Callithrix jacchus: one gene and its partners. The protein of the gene in region 1 interacts with the protein of each later gene in a pairwise test. Links are inferred from orthologs where the notes say so. Each region holds a gene or a part of one and is shown in the gene's direction. Other genes may lie near its edges.

Region 1 (3,857 bases):
TTTATTATACAAATGGTACTGTACTATATATCTTGCCTTTTTTCACTTAAAGTAAATCCTAGTGATTGAGTAGTGAGCAATCTAATTCTTTTTAACAGCTGCATATTTTACTGGATGACCATAATTTATTTAACTAGTCCCTACTGGGTTATTTTTCTAGTTTTCTGCTATTATAAATAGTGCTGGGCCGGGCGTGGTGGCTCACGTTTGTAATCCCAGAACTTTGGGAGGCCAAGGCGGGGTGGATCATGAGGTCAGGAGTTGGAGACCAGCCTGACGAACGTAGTAAAACCCCATCCCTACTAAAAATACGAAAAATCAGCTGGGCCTGGTGGTGGGTGCCTGTAATCTCAGCCACTCGAAAGGCTGAGGCAGGAGAATGGCTTGAACCTAGGAGGCAGAGGTTGTAGGCAGCCAAAATTGCGCCACTGCATTCCAGCCTGGGTGACAATGTGAGACTCCATCTAAAAAAAGAAATTAAAAAAACAATGCTTTAGGCTGGGCATGGTGACACCCGCCTATAATCCGAGCACTTTGGGAGGCCAAGTCGGGTAGATAATTTCAGGCCAGGAGTTTGAGACCAGCCTGGCCAACATGGTGAAACCCATCTCTACTAAAAATACAAAAATTACCCAGGCATCATGGCGCATACCTGTCATCCCAGCTACTCAGGAGGCTGAGCAGAGAATCACTTGAACCTGGGAGGCGGAGGCGGCAGTGAGCTGAGATTATGCCATTGCACTCCAGCCTGGGTGAAAGAGTGAGACTCCATCTCAAAAAAATAATAATAATAATAATTAGTAATGCATTAGTGAATTTCCTTCTATATTTCTCACACACATACCTAATTATTTTCAATAACTATTTCTACCTTCCTATTGTATAAAACCTACATGCACTATTCAGCAAAATCATAATAGAAGTTACTGTTTTATTTCTTTTATATAATGAAAATAAAATGTCATAATGATGTATCTAAGTATAATTTTCTAGTAGTTGAACATATAAAACATATTATAAGAATTTCGGTATTTTTTTTAAATTCTCTCATCTTTGCATTGAAGATTTTGGTGCCTCTGGTTTTGCTGCGACAAATGCTTTTGGAGTTGACAAGGCGTGGTCAAGAATCTTTGAGTGCACTGCTGAAGTTTGGCGTGACGTATCTGGAAGACTATTCGGCAGAGTACATCATTCAGCAAGGTGGCTGGGTATGAGCTGTTATACATTAAAAATATTTTCTTAAAAAAAATTAGGTTCGTCGTTGTTGTTGTTTTTCTTAAGAGATGGACGGGTTCTTGCTGTGTTACCCCAGCTGGAGTAGAGTGTCTAGTTGCAGGCACTGTCATGGCAGGCCTCAGTCTCAAACTTGTGGGCTCAGGTGATCCTGCTTCAGGTCCTGAATAGCCAGGAGTACAGGCTGGGACTATAGGTGCCAACCACTGTGCCGTGTTCTATGCCATACTTTTTGATATGTACTTATTATTTTTGTACAGTTATTTTAAAATTTGCCTTGTATATTCTTTAATACCTGAATTACTTAGAAATATATTTTTAAATTTCCAAATATTTACAAGTTTTAAAATTATGTTTTCAATTACTAATTTAATTCTGTTTCATCAGAAAGCACGGCCATCATGGCATTGAAACTTGAGTTATGACTTACTATCATGATCAGTCAGAAAATATATATTATATAGGGCTGGGCCCAGTGGTGCACACCTGTAATCCCAGTGCTTTGGGAGGCTGAGGCAGGTGGATCACCTGAGGTCAGGAGACCAGTCTGATCAACAGGATGAAATCCCATCTCTACTAAAAAATACAAAAAATTAGCTGGGCCTGTTGGCATGTGCCTGCAATCCCAGCTACTTGGGAGGCTGAGGCAGGAGAATCACTGGAACCCAGGAGGCAGAAGTTGTAGTGAGCTGAGATTGCACCACTGCACTCCAGTCTGGTCAACAGAGCAGCAGCAACAACAACAAATATATATTTTTGTTATATATATTATATAATATATACAATATGAAATATACTATAATATATATAACATATGCATTATATATTGTATTTTATATTTATATTTTATATTTTATGTATATAATATATATAACATTTTATATATAATATTTTATGTGTGTTTCAGGAGAATGTATATTCTTTAATTGTTGGTGTAGGTCTATACATGTCCATTCACATTTAAATATTATGTGGTTTAAATCTTTCAGTCATTTCCAGTTTTTTTGTCTAATTATTTACTAAGAGAGGCATGTTCAGATTTGTCAGGATGGTAGTAGATTTTCCATTTTCCCTTTAGTTCTGTCAGTTGTAGATGACTAAAAGTTATAATTGTCAACCCTTGGTGAATTGAACGTTTTGTTTTTATAGTTATGGTCTTCGTCTCTAAAACTGTGGTTTTTTTTTTTTGTCCTAAAGTCTGTTATTTTTTTCTTTTTGAACCAGCCAACCCCAAATGTCAAATATCCCTTTGATATTGAAGGATGTCTTTAATTTCTCTCAGTAGTACTTGGTAGTTTTTAATGTAGAGGTATTACGCAATATGGGCTTCTTTCCACATCATACTTAAAAATGTACTGTTTCCTTCCTTTTTCTTTGAGACAGAGTCTCAGTCTGTTGCCAGGCTGGAGTGCAGTGGTGCAGCCTCGGCTCACCGCAACCTCCGCCTCCCGGGTTCAGGTGATTCTCCTGCCTCAGCCTCCCGAGTAGCTGGGACTACAGGCACACACCACCACACCCAGCTAATTTTTGTACTTTTAGTAGAGATGGGTTTTACCATGTTGCTCAGGATGCTCTCGATCTCTTGACCTCGTGATCCGCCTGCCTTGGCCTCCCAAAGTGCTGGGATTACAGGCATGAGCCACCACGTCTGGTGTCTTTTTTAATTTTTATTTTAAAATATTTATTATTTGGCCAGTCATGGTGACTCATGCCTGTAATCACAGCACTTTGGGAGGCCAAGATGGGTGGACATGAGGTCAAGAGATTGAGACCATCCGGGCCAACATGGTGAAACCTTATCCCTACTAGAATACAAAAATTAGCGGGGTGTGGTGGTGGGCACCTGTAGTCCCAGCTACTCGGGAGGCTGAGGCAGGAGAATTGCTTGAACCTGCGAGGTGTAGGTTGCAGGGAGTCAAGATTGTGCCATTGCACTCCAGCCTGGTGCCTGGCAACAGAGCAAAACTCTGTCTCAAAAAAAAAAAAAAATTATTATTATTATTTTTTTTTTAAATTTTTTATTGGATTTTAGGTTTTGGGGTACATGAGCAGAGCATGCAAGACAGTTGCGTAGGAACACACATGGCAGTGTGCTTTTCTTTCCTTCTCCCCTTCACCCACATTTGGCATTTCTCCCCTGGCTATCCCTCCCCACCTCCCCCTCCCAAAATTATTATTTTTTTAAATAACAAGGGACAGGGTCTTTCTATGTTACCCAGGATGGTCTCAAACTCCTGAGCTCAAGCTGTCTTCCTGCCTTGGCTTCCCAAAGTGCTAGGATTACAGGTGTGAGCCACCATGCCTGGCCATATTTTTTTTTTTATAGTAGCTAAATAGTATGGATGAACCCTATTTTTTTTAAAACGTTCCTAAGGGATTGAAGACGGTTTGAAATCCTTCTGTATTAAAAATTACATTAATGAAAATCCTTTCCAAATAAATGTATATGTTTGAGACCGATTAGAGCTTCTGCTTAGGATTTCATGTTTTTTTCTTACTTAGCTGAACTGAATCTTCCCTTTCTCCCTCCCTCCTTCCCTCCTACTCTTTAATCCCTCCCTCCCTCCTTCTGTTCCTCTCTCCTCTTATTCTTTAAAATGTCAATGCATCCATCCCAGCATTTG
Region 2 (4,471 bases), on another chromosome or scaffold:
TACTTCTCTCCCCCAACAGGATGGTACTAGTCTCCGCTCAATATCTCCCTCCTCTTCTCTCCTCTCCCAAAGCAAAACCACAGAAAACATTCCAGGAGACCATACCTTCCTTCTCCAGAGTCTTCCAACGTGTGACCCTCTTATTATGTGCCAGCCAGTATTTTTAAAGGCCATCCATGGAAGGACGCTGGCCTCTAAGTCAAGGGAGCTGTGAAGGGAGACACGACACTGACAAGGAGCCCAGACAGACACTGCTTAAGATTCACCTGTTCTAGAAAACCCTCCCAGGCTGGTCCCATCTAGCATTGGGCATTCAAATACCTCACAATCTTTAGAAATAACTGATTGCTAAGGCAGGTTTTATATAGTATTTCCCTGTTTTTGCTGCTTAGCCATTTTTGTCTCACTGCTTCTTTCTCTGTGGCAAGGACTATATTTCGTTTCTCCTCTCCACCCTCACTGCCACCTGCTGCTTCCCTTCAACCCACTCCCTGCCTCTCGCCTGCCTGGCTTCAGCTCTCTGATGAAGACATTACATTCTCAGGATGGAATGTTGACTACCTGATTCCCTAATTGTGTTCTTGACTTGTCTCAAAGTTGATTCTCCTCCTTGGAAATCACCCACATCTTCAGCTCTGGCCTTTTCTTTAGCATAGTCTGCGAACTTGCAAAGGTCTTCTTGTCCACTTTTGGGTCTCCATTATTGCAGCTATAAAATTATTACAACGCTAGCCTTCCCCAGCCTAATCACATTCTGTTCATCGAATTGACAGCCTGCATTTTGTCTTCATGCAGTTGAAACTGAAATGGATTTGGAGGAAATTATCTTAAAAGACAGTTTTTTCTTCTCTATTGTGTTCATAGAGCTGGGTGAGGGGGAGGAATGCTTATTTTCCAAGAAGTTGGGGGAAGGGAAAGGTGGAGAGGTCCAAGGGCAACTGGGAGTGAGGTGGGGAGCTGGGGCAGATTTGGAAGGACTTTGGGAACTAACATCTAGGATTTTGACTCTGAGCCCCTCTCGGGGCTCCCACTTGATGGCTTCTCATGCTTGTACTGCACATCCCACACTATTAGACCCAAGGAAGTTTCCAGGACCTCTTCATTTTATTTCCACCCTCAATCCACATTTCCAGATGTCTCTGCAGCAAAGTGAAATTCCAGGCAAGCCTCAGGGAAAAGGAGAAACAAAGACAATGAAACAATTGGTAGTGAAAGGCAGAAAGAGAAGACGGGAGCCCTTAGAAAAGGGAGTATCCCTGAGGAGGTGGGGACAAGGGGAGGAGAAGGGGAGGAGGAGAGGAGGAGGAAAGCAAGCCTGTCCCTTTAAGGGGGTTGGCTGTCAATCAGAAAGCCCTTTTCATTGCAAGAGAAGAGGACAAAGATACTCAGAGAGAAAAAGTAAAAGACCGAAGAAGGAGACTGGAGAGACCAGGATCCTTCCAGCTGAACAAAGTCAGCCACAAAGCAGACTAGTCAGCCGGCTACAATTGGAGTCAGAGTCCCAAAGACATGGGTAAGTTTCAAAAACTTTAGCATTGAAGATTCAAGCAGACACAGGAATTCGCAAGAGAATTTCCAACTTTGGGGTTCGGGGGTTCCAATGGTTTACATGAGTCGTGATTTGGCACTTGTTTTCTTTTTAAATTCCTTAACATTCAGTTAGGTTAACTCCTTCTCTGCTGTACTGAGCATGATGCTTTATTACCAAAGAATTCCAGCAGCACGTGGAGAGTCACACACATCTCTGGAGAGAGTGCCCAGCCAGATGGATGTGGTCATGTGTCCTCCTACCCCCTCACTTCCCTCTATCTTCTCTTTTCCCTTGGTTCCAAGGCCCTGGTAACGGTTGGGTCTGCTTGCTCTCCTGGTTCTGCTGGAGGTCACTGAGCACTGTCTAGACCTCAGATGTACAAACTAATTGCTTGCTTGATGCAATCTTTGAACTACGTTTGACATCAGTAGGAAGCTGGGGGTTGGGCAAGCTGGACTCAGGCTTGGCCACGGCTGAGAAGGCCATTGCCAGGTTCAGGAAATGAAATAAAGTCCTCAATGGCTTGACCATGGGAAACAAATACGGGTAGGAGTGTGTGTGTATGTGCATATGTGTGTGTGCACATACAGGGGTGACTATTTCTAACAAATATCACAGACATAGCTTTCCTGAGGGCTCTCTGCTATGACAAGGAGGCTGCTGGGACATTAGGGCTCTTGCTAAGTTGGTGGAGTATTGAGGGCTTTTCTAGGTTCCATGAACAAAGACAGAAGCTATGAGGTTCTGGTGTTAGTTTCTACTCAGAGTAAGGTGTGCAGAGCACAAGGGTCTTTGTCCCTATGGGACTTCACAGAGTCATGTAGACATTGCTCACATTTGGCAAAACAGAGAGCAGCTTAAACACATCCTAAATGAAATGAGACTCAGTTGTCCCATGTATTCCCTATCAAATGTAGCACCGAGTAGATAGCATCCACAGAGATCAATTTGCAATTATATTGATCTGGTTCAGCCTTTAGGTGTTTCATCATGAAATACTGAGAGAACACTTTGAAGCATGTGCAAGGTAAAATAGGAGGGCAGAGCACTGGACAAGGAGTCAGAAAAATCAGATTCCAATCCCAGATCTGCTACTTATGAACTGCGTGACCTTGGGCAGGTCACTGAATCACCATTTCCTCATCTGGAAAATGGAGATAGCAATAACTACTTTGTCTATTTTCAGGGTTGTAAGAATCAAGTAACAATAATATGGAAGTCTTTGAAAATGGGCAAGATCTATAACAATTGTAAATCATGATAATACCTACTATTAGACAATAATGTGTACATAGGCTGACTCTTCCTCTTTCTGGGGTGGTTGGGTTTTCTTTGTGTGCTTGGATCAGATTCATTTGACCAATGAAGTGTGGCCAGGTGAGAGGTGAATGTTGGAGGAACTCAATTCCTGCCCTGGGTAACATCAAGAACCTTATCTAATGTCAGCCCAGCGGATTGGCTAGGTTGTGCATTAAAAACAGAGAGGGAGTAAAGAAGGATGTTGAATATTACTTCCTCAGAGGATGAAATCCCTGAGGAAAGGTAGGAACAAATAAGGTGACCACAGGGACAGTTGCCTGTTATGGAGGCTGGGTGATTGCCTCCAGAGGAAGATTGCCACAGATAAGGGCACCATTGAGGATGCGCATTGGTTCCCAGCTCCTAAGGGTGGATGATACTTGGGCCAGGTACATGTGATGGAGCAGCCACTGAGTTTCCATTTATTCAGTAATAGAGTGTCTACAATACTTTGAATTATAGACCATCTCTAACAAGGTACGGGACTGCCACTACTTCTGAAGTGGAGTGCACTGCTGTTCAACAATTGCAGTAAACACATTGTATCCTGGAATCTGGGATTGGAAGGAACTTTAGAAGTCGTCTGAACCAACCTTCAGTATGGGATTCATTTTTACAACAACTAATTAAACGTTTGTATAGCCTCTGCTTAATCACCTCCAGAAACAGGGAACTTACTACCTCAACCATATAGAATCCCTTAGGATTGGAAGCAACGAGGAACACTTCAGTAGTGTCTGCACAAAAGGTTTATGGGGAAAATGATAGCTTATTAAATTTTGCCTTGATTGAAAGGGGAATGTTCCAAGTAAGTCTTTGGGATAACGATGGAACCGGAAAGGAGCCAAAGAGCAGTAACTGATTATTCTCTGCTCAGTAACACAATGCCATTATTGAACAGCAAAACATTGTCTGTAAGCCTGTTGTCGTCTGAGAACAGTGGCTGTTACCCTGGTAACCAGACTGTGATGCCTTCATCCAAAAGTGGCTGTTTGCCAAGCAGTATAGTTTTGGCTGGCTTGGAGTAAGTGGGTGGAGCCCAGGCAAAAAGTGTAGCAGCAGAGCGGGGGTCCAGTTTTATACAATGCCCGAAGAATAACTGAATCCCATCAAAATGGCACAAATGCACCAAGAATGCCAGGATCCAAAAATAAACCAGATCCAAACCACCATGTTCATATTCATGTTCACTAGTCTTCCTGGAGACGCTGACTAACATAATCAAGTGCAGCCTTCCCCACCTGACTTCTCTCTCTGGCTGTGCAGAGCCAGAGGAGCTCTTGGAGAGCCAGGCAGATTGAAAGGTATACCCTGCTTTAGGGGGTCTTTGCCTTGGCTCTGAGCTAGGAAAGCCAGAAATGTACTTAACACCCTGACAACTAGAACTGCTCTCTCAGAGTGATCTGAGTAATAACACCCTCAACCCTGGGAGGTGGGTGGGAGGGGAAATATAGTCTCCAAACCCATTAAAGTAGAACTCCAGCCAGTAACATCACTTTTCCCCACTGCTTTTGTCTATTGTCCCGAAGCCTTGAAAGCCATCCCCTGGGTACAGCTCTTTGTCTTGAAAGAAAGCAGCAGTAGAAATGCCTTCCCTGCCCACAGTACTTCAGGTCTAGAGAAGATCAAATGAGGACAGTG
Region 3 (4,398 bases), on another chromosome or scaffold:
TCAAACATACAGGCTTTACAGGTGCATCAGAATCACAAGCATGTGGCAGGGTTCATGTGCCCAAATTAAGTGAATATTCTTGCTACGTGCTCAGCAGCTTATAAACAGATGGTGACCTAGACCAGACTGCCTTGATGACTCTGCTTGGAAGAAAGGCATTACATCACTGGCTGGAGAACCTCAAGGCATATGTCTGGGCAGGTGACACACACAGCTTGGGCTGTGACTGCTAAACCACTCCCACAGCCAAACAAGGAAACCCATCTCATGACCAGCTCTCAGGGGAATTCTCCAAGCCTGACTGTCACCTCTAACTCCTCTGCCAGTTAAGGTTAAAGGGTCTGTGATCAGTTATGTTATACTCTTCAAATGTGCATTTGTTTGTCTGTTTGTTTTTGAGACAGAGTCTTGTTCCCACCCAGGCCATCTTGGCTCACTGCAACCTCCGCTTCCCGGGTTCAAACGATTCTCCAGCCACAGCCTCCCAAGGAGGTGGGACTACAGGTGTGTGCCACCATGCCTGGCTAATTTTTGTATTTTTAGTAGAAATGGGGTTTTACCCTGTTGGCCAGTCTGGTCTCGAACTCCTGACCTCAGGGGATCCTCCTGCCTCGGCTTCCCAAAGTGTTGGGATTACTGGCGGGAGCCACCACGTCCTACCTCGAATGTGCATTTCGTAAATGTTTATTCAAATAGATTCACGAATAAGGGAAGAAAATGGGATTTGTTTAAATTCAATTTCTAGGTCCAAGGCAACCTATTACCGCTGTCCCTAATACTGGACGTCCAGGTTGTCCTCAGTGCTGCTTCCTACACAGTGTCCTCAAACACCACCCCTCCCATACTGTGCCCCCACCCTGTCACCACTCCGAGCAATAACCCCCAAACTGTCAACGCCCAAAACAGCTCCCTTGTCATCGCCAAGCACTAGAGACTCCCCTTAAGTCATTCTTACTCCCAAAGACCGTTCTTGTCACCAATTCCCTATTCAGACCTCCCCTATAAACGCTCTAAGAGCCCTCAACTATCAGCCACACCCCCAAAGAGCCCTCAGAGCCATACACTATCAGCCAGACGCTTCCCGCCACAAACACTCCCGAGACCCCACTCCTGTCACCAGTTCCCCGAACATTTCTTCCTGGGGTCGCCGATATTGCTCACAGACGCCCCCGTAACCAACTTCACCGCCTCCGCAGCCTAGTAGCCCCCAGAAGGAGCCCTCCGTGACTACGTGCGGCCCCGCCCCTTGGCATAGCTTCCTGGCCAGTGGCGCCGGAAGCCCCGCCCCTGACCGGTTGCTAGGCTCCAGCAGCCGGAAGTCCCGCCTGCCGTGTAGTCGCCTCCGTCGCTGCTACCGCCGCCGCCGTTGTTGTTGTGGTCGGTACGCCGAGTTCCACGGCTCCGAGAGCCGGTTCCATCCCCTCCCCGCCGCCGCCATGAAGTGGATGTTCAAGGAGGACCACTCTTTGGGTAAGCACTTGGCCATCGGACCGGCCGCGGGGGGCCGCGGCGGCAGGTGGGCCCCCTCCCCCACTCGGGCGGCCCTGGGCCGGGTGAAGCAGGACGTATGCCGCGCTCCGGGCTCGAGCCGCCAAGGCTCCGGTGCCACGAGCAGCCGTCCCTCGACCCCGCGTCACTCTCCGCGGACCCCCCTGGGAGCTAGGGGACAGGACCGCGGCCGTGGGGACGCCGGAACGAGGGCCTGGGCTGTGCGCAAGGCGCAGGAGGAGGAGGGCCGAGGGCCCGGAACCGACCTGTGGGCAGGCGCGGCCGTCAGCCCTGTTTGTTTCTGCCACAGAACACAGATGCGTGGAGTCCGCGAAGATCCGAGCGAAATATCCTGACCGGGTTCCGGTGAGTGATTGGACTCTCCGCCCCCTCACCTCGCTGTCACCTCTGTCATCTGGGAGCCGTGATAGGCCCTAGGCCATTCAACAGTTGACAAGTTGAGGTTCCATTCCCAGTTGTAGTAGAGGACGGGCCAGACTGCGATGAGGCCGCCCAGGGCCGGGGCGTGAGGGGCTCGGGCTGGTGCTGTTCAGGGTGCCTCAGTGCTGAATCTCCGGATCTAGGCCAGCGAGAGCTGTCTGCAGCCTCGGGGCTCCCTGGCCAATTATGTAAGGAACGATGTTCTAGGACAGGGCAACAGGTCACTGCCACTTTTGGGAACGGTGGTGGAGGGAGACTGTCACTTTGGTCTTGGAAGTGGTACTTGAGTCTCAGGACCTTCACCTTTTACTTGGAGCCTCCATCTTTACCCAAATTCTGGCTCCGTTGCCTCACCTTGACCCTGTCATCCCTGCCTGACCAAAACAATGTGAGAAGCCGCTGAAAACCCTTTTCTGTTATGCTTTCTTCCTAGTCAGTAGTAAATATATTTTTTCCATGTTTGGGGAGATAGTTTTGTAATTCTTGTTAATTTTTAATGGACATTAAGGCCTGTTATTGTAGCTCTTTGCTTGTGAATAATTCCGTTGGGGGAAGGAGGGACGGATTTGAAACTTGTTCAGAGAAGAGCAACAGGCCAAATGAAGAGCTTGGTTCTTGGCTGGCTGAAATTCCAGGCATTCCCATTAGTCCATCTGTTCTTGTCTCCTGTGTTCCTTGGGAACACAGTAGTGTTTCCTGTAGTGTGAAGGGGATCCATTCTGGGGTCCTGGAGTAATGGGCTATGGATGTGGATCCCCACATATTCTTAGGTCTGCCCAGATAAAATGTGGAAAAGCTTAGTAGTAAGGGCTGCATTTTTCTTACATAACTGACCACAGAAAAGCACTTACCGTTTCCCTATAACCCATTTATATCAATTCTTAACCTCCAGAGCATGTGGTTATTAAGCCAAAGACATATTTTCTCCTGCTATGCAGTTTCCCACCCACCTCCTTGCCCACACTCTGTTCCTCAGCTCCTCAGCCTTGAGGCCAGAGCCTGGCTTTAGAAACCCAGTCCTGACCTCTCTTTATTTTCCCAGGTGATTGTGGAAAAGGTCTCAGGCTCTCAGATTGTTGACATTGACAAACGGAAGTACTTGGTTCCATCTGATATCACTGTGGCTCAGTTCATGTGGATCATCAGGAAAAGGATCCAGCTTCCTTCTGAAAAGGCGATCTTCCTGTTTGTGGATAAGACAGTCCCACAGTCCAGGTGAGAGGTGTTTACTAGATGGGTCCTCTGGTGTTAGACATCTGGTTGGCTGCTTAGAGAACTCAAAAACTTTGGAGGTCTGAAAACTCTTGGGGGTTCTGACTAGAAATCTGGATTTTGTGCTCCCTGACATCAGGGGCTCCAGGAAAATAACGGCTGCAATACATAAGGGTGCATTTTAGATTCGGAAAATAGAACAAGGCCTGGACTTCTAAAAAAGGGATGAAACTCAGCCTGAGACCTCCAAGAATCTTTTAAAACATTGAGGACTTATTTAGGCTTAAGCCATAGGTAGAACTGATGCCTGAAATGAGGTTTTCTTCCCTGAAGACAGTCTGGCCACTCTCCTCCACTGGGAACCTGTGGGTTCTGCTGAGGCTTACTCAGTTAATCAAGCGGTTTGCGTGCTCCCAAACTTCGTCAGCTCTCTGCCATTGTAAGAGTCTATAGCTGTCTGATCCTCAAGTCTGACAAAATGACTGCAGCACAGTAAAGGGCTCTGAAGTCTCTTTACAGACTTAAACCTTCCTTGGTAGCACCTGCTTTGACTGTCAGACTATGGTGCTGCCTGGAAGCAGTCTTTGGGAGTGTAACTTGCAGCCCGAATGTAGGCAGGGGCATTAGAATTTCCATTTTCTGTGTATTTGACAGCCCAGCTTTAGTCCCCTCTGGAATGAGGAAAATGGACAGGCTCCGTCTAAGCTCCTGGTCAGTCCTTTCCTGTTACTGAGTGGGTAGTTCTAGGCTCTGATCCAGATTCTGGCCCTCACCTCTCCCCTGAGTGTGAGTTCCTGGCCACATCTTACCTTAGTGACCCAAAGTAGGTTTCATTTACCACCCCCAGAAGTAATACTTCTAAAAGTGAAGGCTTTCAGAAGCCCTGGGAACTAGCCCAATGTTGCCCAGATAGGTTCCTGTTGAAAATCCTTGAAGACTTCCTAAGAGGCCCGTGCCAAATTCCAGACTTTATTTCTGTTAAAGGTGGAAAGCTCTGGCTATTTTTTGGTCTGATTACCTGTTTCCCAGTCTCTACCACCTCCACTTCCTGGTGTCTGGTAGAAAGGCAGGGGAGAAATGGAAGCTCCTTCCCTAAGGCCAGTGTCCAACCTGAGGAGATAGCCCAGGGCCTGCCCACTGGACACCATTGGTCTGCTGCAGCTGTAGCTCTGGAAGCTGTGGTGTTGCTTGAGGTGATTTTGTCATCCATGGGGCTCTTCCAACCTTCCTTCCCAGGCCTCAGGGCTATCTTCACGA
Region 4 (4,174 bases), on another chromosome or scaffold:
GGGGTCCAAGGTTGCCGCCCACGTGCCCAGCCATCCTACGCTCAGGCACAGATGGCCATGCCCACACCCGGCCTTTCAGCTCAGGTCCACCATGAGGGACAGCCCAAGTGAGGGTGGGGGTGCCAGAGGGTCCCGCGTGGGGGCCGTGCCTTTGCCCAGACCCTGCACTTTCAACCAGGCCAGCCCGGCTCTGGGGAGCAGGGGCCTCCCCGGCAACACCCCCAGGGTCCCTGAGGGTCTGGGGTCCCAGCCCTGTTGCCAAGTGGCCTTGTCCAAGCTCCTTCCTCCCAGGCTGGTGTGAGTGTGTGTGCGTTCGTGCCGAGCTTCTATTTCATATTGCAAATATAAATAAAGGAAGACAGTTTACGATTCTGCTGGTCAGACCGTACATTCTGGGATGCGGGGAGGGCAGCCTGTGTTATCCCTGTACCCCAGCGGTTGGGGTACTCCTAACCCAGTCTGCCCCCACACTGTGTCCTGCCAGAGGGAGCCCTGTGGCTACAGAGGCCACAGGCTGGGCCAGGCACTGGCTGTGATGGCTCCTGCCAGGCCTACCCCACCTGTGGGCAGGGCCGAGGGTGGAGGATGGAAGCTGCCATCGGGGGCTCAAATCCCTGCTCCTACCCCCCTTTGGTAACCAAGCCCAGCATTGAGGCCGGGCAGTGGTGCCCAGTATGTCTGAGTCTTTGAGCCGGAAGGTAGAAGTGTAGGCCGGTGCACAGCAAGTGGAACAGGGGAGCGGTGCCAGGAAGCCTCTGTCTCGGCTACACCGGACCATGTGGGCCGGGTCATGAGGACAGTGTCCTCACTGCGGTGGCAGCTGGTTTGGAGGTCACCTAGGGCTGGCTCAGCTAGCAGGGGAGGGTGCTTATTCCCTGCATTCTTCGGGCCCCTTCCTTGTGGCCCACTGAGGAAGTGTTTGTGGTGGAGCCCCTGAGGGCCTGGTGGGGTTGAGCAGAATGAGGGAAGGTTTCATGGAGCAGGGAGGGGGTCCGCTAGTCCAGCAAGTGAAGGAGGGACTGGCCTTCCCATCCCCTCAGGAGTGTTCCTGCCAGCCAACCCCCTCCCCCGCTTCCCCATGAAGGGGTGGCTGTTGGAATTCTGCACTCCATCTCTTGTGATTGTCTGGGCCCAGGACAATGGGATGGGCGTTTGGGGACCTCACCCCCCAGCAGACAGGAGGAGCAAGCCATGTCCCAGCAGGCTAGGGCAAGGGACCCCCGATGCCAACAGTGCCTTATCAGCAGGTGCCAGGCAAGGCCATCCCCGGGGTGAGGGCGACATCTCCCTGGGCCCTGTTATCAGTTGCAGAGTCCACAGGACGCTCATTGGGTTAACGTGTAACCATGAGCCCTCCCCTCCACCCCCTGGAGCTACCCACTCCCAGATTAGGTCGCTCTGAGGGTATCAGGCCAGCATGGATGCTGGCAAAGCAGGGTCGACCCTGAAGACTCACTGCTCAGCCCAGGTGAGAGCCTTCAGAGCCATGCCTGGGGCTGGGGGATAGGGCCCAGAACCCTAGCAGCTGGGGGGTCTGGGAGGTGCTGTCCGTGAATTGGCTGGGGTCCTGGGAAGCTGGGTTCTGGCAGCCTGGTACCTGAATGGGTCCAGCCTGGACAGCTGGGGTCCCAGGTGGGGGTGGGACAGGAGCCAGGAGATCTGAGTCCTAAGAACGGGGGCTGGGCTGGGCTTCAGCTCAGCAGCTCCCTGCTTCCCAAAGTGCCTAGATGTCTGCAAGTGGCTGATTCCCTTCATCCTCTCCTGCTGCGTGTACTTCTGCCTCTGGATTCCCGAGGACCAGCCGTCCTGGGTCGCTGCCCTGGTCAAGTGCCTGCCCATCTTCTGCCTGGCTGGGTTCCTGTGGGTTGTGTCCCCAGGCGGGAGCTACACTCGGCTCCTCCAGGGAGCCCTCCTGTGCTCGGCTGTGGGGGACGCCTGCCTCATCTGGCCTGAAGCCTTCCTCCATGGTGAGTAGAAGCTGCCATGACGCCTTTCAGATGCCCGTGTCGGGGAGGCCCAGCACTTGGATGGGAGCCTGGAGTGCAGAGGGCTCCAGTGGGCGTTTTGATGGGAGTTCTGGTGGTCAGAGGCGTTGGAGGCACAGCCGTGAGCCAGGCAGCTCACGTTCCAGTGAGGGCTGGTGGGCAGGTGGTGGTAAGGCAGTAGCTGGGAGTGGCGTGGAGGACAGTGAGGACCCTGGGCTGGAGGTGCTGCAGTTTGAAGCAGGGTTGCTGAGGAAGGCTTCACTGAGGAAGTCACATTTTGGCAGACCTGAAGAAGGTGCCATGTGCCTGTGAGGGCGAAGGGCAAGTGCAGAGGCTCCAGGGCAGGGGCATGCCAGCTTGTGGCCAAACAGGCCAGGGTGGCTGGTGGGCCGGAGGGCACGGGGCTTTGGAGGCCAAGGGAAGATGGGACCTGCCGGCAGTTCAGAGCAAAGCAAGTACATGACACTGCATTTGGGGAGGCCTGCAAGGAGGCTCAGCCAGGGTTGGGGCTGGTGCTTTGGGCCGATCCTTCCCCTTAGGTCCTGAGGGGTGACCTCGGGGCGATACCAGAATGAGCCTTCCTTACTGGCACCCACCCCTCTCCCCAGGTGTAGCTGCCTTCGCTACAGCCCACCTCCTCTACCTCTGGGCCTTTGGCCTCTCTCCCCCGAAGCCGGGTCTGCTACTGCTCATCTTCCTGGCCTCTGGCCCCTACCTCATCCTCATGCTGCTGCACCTTGAGCTGGATATGGTCCTGCCCGTGGCAGCCTACGGGCTGATCCTGATGGCCATGCTGTGGCGTGGCCTGGTCTGGGGCGGGAGTGCCGGCTGGGGCGCGCTGCTCTTCACACTCTCTGATGGTGTGCTGGCCTGGGACGCCTTCGCCCAGCCCCTGCCTCACGCTCGCCTGGCGATCATGACCACCTACTACGCTGCCCAGCTCCTCATCACACTGTCGGCCCCCAGGAGCCCGGGGCCCAAGACGGACTGACTAGGCAGCTTGAAGGGCGAGCTTCCAGGCCCTCTCCTCCCGCAAGGACTCGGGCCTCCCAGACCAGCCCAGCCTGAGAAGTACCCTCCACAGCAAAGCTTCCTCACGCCTGTCTGCAGGCGCAGGCCCCGCCGCCGCTGCTCCCGGCTGAAGATGTTTAAGGACCATTCACGGAATTCCGAGTCCACTGTGGGGTTCCAGCTGCCTTCCCCCAGTTCTGACTCCAGATCCCCGGCTCCTCAGCCAGGCCCACATGCGGCCCTCCCAGCCACCAGCCCGCCTCCGAGTTCGCTGTGGGCCCCACGGTCCGCCGGCCCCTCCTGGCTGCTCTGAGTCGGTTTCGTTGTCTAAGTACAGGGCGTGGAAGTGTAGGTGCTGCTGTCACTGTGGGAGAGGCATGTGGAGGGTGACTGTGGCGATGAACCATCTTGGATCATGGCAGCGGACGTCTCGGTCACTCCCCATGAGCCAGGCCTGGTGCCCAGTGGGACCCTCCGTGGCTCTCTAGTGGGGGGCATTTGAAGGGATAAAGGTGAGGATTGTGCAGAACTGAGCCAAGAGCACTGCTGAGCCTCTGCATTTGTTTCCTGGGGTTGCCGTCACAAATTACCCCAAACCAGGTGCTTTGAAATGAGGAATGGGCTCTCCTGCAGCTCTGGAGACCCAAAGTCCAAGATCAGGGTGTTTTCCGGCCCTTGCTCTCTCCTGAGGCTCTGGGGAAGAATCCGTCCTTGCCCTCTTAGCTTCCGGAGGCTCCCAGGAATCACTGGCTTCTCTTGGCATGTGGCGGCTGTGTCTCTCCCATCTTTATGTGATTGTCTTCAAGCCCACCCTAAACCCAGGTGATTCTATCTCGAGATGCTTAACTATGTCTGCAGAGACCCTGTTTCTAAGTACTGTCACCTGTATAGGCACCTGGGCTTAGGACTCAGACATATCTGCTTAGGGGACACAACCCACTACAGTCACATGCAGTATCAGGGGACAAGGGTAGGGGCCTTGGAGGAGGGGAGGGTGACAAGGGGGAGGAATCAAATAGGAAAGAGGAACGGAGGTGTGTTCCTTGCCTTGGCTCTGTGACCTTGGCAAGTTGCTGTCCCTCTCTGGTGTTTAGATTCTGCATCTGAGGACGTGACAGGGTCCAAGATGCTCTCCAAGACCCTACTTGACTTCCACATCCATGATGTGCCTTTAGTTA
Region 5 (3,183 bases), on another chromosome or scaffold:
CTTTGGTGGCTTTTTTTTTCTTTTGGAGACAGAGTTTTGCTCTGTCACCCAGGCAATTGTACAGTGGTACAATCTGGGCTCATGGCAACCTCTGCCTCCCAGCCTCCAGCAATCCTCCCGAGTAGCTAGGATTACAGGTGAATGCCACCAGCCTGGATAATTTTTGTATTTTCAGTAGAGACAGGGTTTCATCATGTTGGCAAGGCTGGTCTCAAACTCCTGCCTTCAGCGATCTGCCCACCTTGGCATTCCAAAATGCTGGGATTACAGGTGTGAGCCACTGCATCTGGCCTATCTGGTTTTTATTAATCTTTCTTAAATGTATATATAGTTCATATTTCTTTCAACATTTAATATTAGAAGTGTTCGGGGTCTTTATTGAGAAGTTTGGTGATGTTTTTTTGACCAGAAATATGCCATAGGAACTTAACTCTTGTTTACATCAATCAGCCTAGAGTAAAAATGGTTTCATTATAGTTGTTTTGCATAAAGTCATGGTTTTCAGGAACCTATGGATGACACTGAGGATTACTGCAATACTTCTAGTAAATCTGGCAGAAAAGGCAAAGAATGAAGTTACTACTACTAACACAAATGAGACTGTCATGGTGCGCCCCATCAAAAAAGGAGAGAAAGACAGATACAAAGGAACACACGCACGTGCGTGCTCTCACACACATACATACACACACACACACGTACATGCACAAGCACCAGAAACATTTGATGTTATAAATACAACAGTGCTGAGAAAGATGAATTAATGAAAAATTGTATTTTTTGTTCTGAGAATAGGTTACATATATGATTCTAATCCATTTATTATTTTTACATTCAAGGCTACCTAAAAGAAGACAGTTATCTCATATTTGGCTGCCAGCTTTTTCTTTCTCTTGACCGCTTAAAACTTCAGACTTCCTCTCCTGTTGGTGTCATGGAGAAAGTCCAATACCTCACTCGCTCAGCTATAAGAAGAGCCTCAACCATTGAAATGCCTCAACAAGCACGTCAAAATCTACAGAACCTATTTATCAATTTCTGTCTCATCTTAATATGTCTCTTGCTGATCTGTATCATCGTGATGCTTCTCTGAAGTTCTGCTACAACCTCTAGAGCTGCAACTTACCACATCAGCTTAAAATTTGTCATCCCATGCAGACGGAAAACAATACTGTGTAACATACCACTTCCTGAGTAGAAGAGTTTCTTTGTGAAAAGGTCAAGATTAAGACTAAAACTCATTAGTAGCACATGTATTCATCTGCTGGATCTTGTAAACATGAAAAGGGCTTTATTTTCACAAAATAATCTTTTAAAAGGTATATAAAATTTACCTGTTGATTTCCTCAACATGGCTCACAAATTTCTATCCCAAATCTTTTCTGAAGATAAAATAATAGTTCTGAAACTGCACTGCCAACAAGTTCACTTCATATGTAAAGCATTATTTTTACTCTTTTGAGGTAAATATAATTTATATTACACTGTAAAAGTTTCTTTAGTATTAAGTATTTTTCAGGTCTTCACCAAGTATCAACGTAATAATACAAATGCAGTGTCATTATTCAAAATGGTCCACTAACTCCTTATATCTGCTATCTTATTATAAAAAACTCTTTGTAGTAACTACCAGTATCTATCTATATTCTAAAACAGAAATTGTATTTTTTCTATGCCACATTAACATTTTTTAAAGTTGATGAGAATCAAGTATGGCAAAGTAAGGCCATACTCTTACATAATAAAATTCCTCTTAAGTAATTTTTTCAAAGAATTACAGAATTCTAGTCCATGTAAGTAAACCATAAATCTGCTCTAAGATATTATGATCAACAGACGAGAATTGGTGGTTAACATCTGACAGTGTGATTAGTCATAATCACTAATGTACTAACAGAATAGAATCTAATCTTCCTTTAAGGCACTGTAGTGAGTTACCTGAGCTGGAGTTACCTAACTTGCCATGTCTATGGAATCATGAAACCGTAAGACTTCAGAATTATTTTACAGTTTGTTTTCTATTCAATCCTAACATCCAATGCAGGCAAAGAAAATAATAAAAGATTTCCAGTGACAGAAAAAGGTTATCTCAAGTATTTAAAAAAATAAAAATATGAATTTTCTCTCCAAATATTAACTAATTTTTAGATTACATTTTGAAATGAACTTGTTGGTCCAACTATTATATCTACAGCTGACCCTTGAATATGGGGGTTGACAATCCGTGGGTCCCCAAAAATCTTAACTACTAATAGCCCACTATTGACCATAAACCTTACTAATAACATAAACCGTAAATTAACACATATTTTGCATGTTATGTGTATTATATACTCTATTCCTACAATAAAGTAAGCTAGAGAAAAAAATCTTATTTAGAAAATCATAAGAAAGAGAAAATATATTTACTATTCATTAAATGGAAGTGGGTCAACATAAAAGTCTTCATTCTCATTGTCTTCACATTGAATAGGCGGAGGAGAAAGATGGGAAGGAAGAGAAGGGATTGGTCTTGCACTCTTGTCTTAGGGGTGTGGGGAGTGGGGGAAAAGAAAATTCATGTATAAGTGGACCGTCTCAGTTAAAGTTCTTGTCATTCTAGCATCAACTATAATAGGATATAGCTATTTTCCTTAATCTATCAATTAAATGGTAAACATCTATTTTGTAGGCCACTCTACTAAGCTAAATTATAGGTCTAACAATGCTATCTATAACTATTTTCTTGATGAATAAATTTTCAATTTCTCCTCTGATCATTTCAGAACATCTTCCAATAACTCACAAAACAACTGAAGTAAAATTTAGTGCTGGCAAATATATTCACCAAAATTTGGTAATTTAAGGTGACTAAAGTTTAAAATTTAGTCTAAACTGTATAATTCAACAATTTTAATTCCAACTGAAGACAGGTTACTAATATAACTATTATTAAAAGGGCAGAGGATATGTAATTAACCATATCCTCTAAAACATGGTTACTAAAAGAATATGAAGCATCAATATTGATCTTAGTTTCTTATACAAGTGCTGCTAACTGAATAGTGAAGGAGAGATTATTAAATTTTCTGGAAACATGAGAGGTACTAGAGATGGAAGTGGAAAAGGTTTGGTTCAGGGATACCTGAATAACCGATAGGCAGAGATTTCTTAAGTGAAGCCTCATCTACAAGTTGGAAATCC

The links.
Region 2: the proteins of BCL2L13 (region 1) and PLP1 interact in binary tests that used the Homo sapiens proteins (3 or more experiments, as listed by UniProt). The two-hybrid records come from large-scale screens. The link is inferred for Callithrix jacchus from reciprocal best matches to the Homo sapiens genes BCL2L13 and PLP1.
Region 3: the proteins of BCL2L13 (region 1) and GABARAPL2 interact in binary tests that used the Homo sapiens proteins (3 or more experiments, as listed by UniProt). The two-hybrid records come from large-scale screens. The link is inferred for Callithrix jacchus from reciprocal best matches to the Homo sapiens genes BCL2L13 and GABARAPL2.
Region 4: the proteins of BCL2L13 (region 1) and TMEM86B interact in binary tests that used the Homo sapiens proteins (3 or more experiments, as listed by UniProt). The two-hybrid records come from large-scale screens. The link is inferred for Callithrix jacchus from reciprocal best matches to the Homo sapiens genes BCL2L13 and TMEM86B.
Region 5: the proteins of BCL2L13 (region 1) and PLN interact in binary tests that used the Homo sapiens proteins (3 or more experiments, as listed by UniProt). The two-hybrid records come from large-scale screens. The link is inferred for Callithrix jacchus from reciprocal best matches to the Homo sapiens genes BCL2L13 and PLN.

Annotation. Positions count from the first base shown.
Region 1 is NC_133502.1:212,820,148-212,824,004, forward strand, and holds part of BCL2L13 (bcl-2-like protein 13), read left to right. Parts: intron 1-1,064; coding exon 1,065-1,208; intron 1,209-3,857. UniProt on the Homo sapiens protein: May promote the activation of caspase-3 and apoptosis.
Region 2 is NC_133524.1:99,825,422-99,829,892, forward strand, and holds the start of PLP1 (myelin proteolipid protein), read left to right. Parts: upstream 1-1,387; 5' UTR 1,388-1,509; coding exon 1,510-1,513; intron 1,514-4,471.
Region 3 is NC_133521.1:32,971,121-32,975,518, forward strand, and holds the start of GABARAPL2 (gamma-aminobutyric acid receptor-associated protein-like 2), read left to right. Parts: upstream 1-1,327; 5' UTR 1,328-1,436; coding exon 1,437-1,470; intron 1,471-1,798; coding exon 1,799-1,854; intron 1,855-2,971; coding exon 2,972-3,144; intron 3,145-4,398. UniProt on the Homo sapiens protein: Ubiquitin-like modifier involved in intra-Golgi traffic. Modulates intra-Golgi transport through coupling between NSF activity and SNAREs activation. It first stimulates the ATPase activity of NSF which in turn stimulates the association with GOSR1.
Region 4 is NC_133523.1:48,094,492-48,098,665, reverse strand, and holds TMEM86B (lysoplasmalogenase TMEM86B), read left to right. Parts: upstream 1-1,385; 5' UTR 1,386-1,417; coding exon 1,418-1,468; intron 1,469-1,720; coding exon 1,721-1,967; intron 1,968-2,593; coding exon 2,594-2,976; 3' UTR 2,977-3,522; downstream 3,523-4,174. UniProt on the Homo sapiens protein: Catalyzes the hydrolysis of the vinyl ether bond of choline or ethanolamine lysoplasmalogens, forming fatty aldehyde and glycerophosphocholine or glycerophosphoethanolamine, respectively and is specific for the sn-2-deacylated (lyso) form of plasmalogen.
Region 5 is NC_133505.1:124,886,233-124,889,415, forward strand, and holds the end of PLN (phospholamban), read left to right. Parts: intron 1-839; 5' UTR 840-934; coding exon 935-1,093; 3' UTR 1,094-2,441; downstream 2,442-3,183. UniProt on the Homo sapiens protein: Reversibly inhibits the activity of ATP2A2/SERCA2 in cardiac sarcoplasmic reticulum by decreasing the apparent affinity of the ATPase for Ca(2+).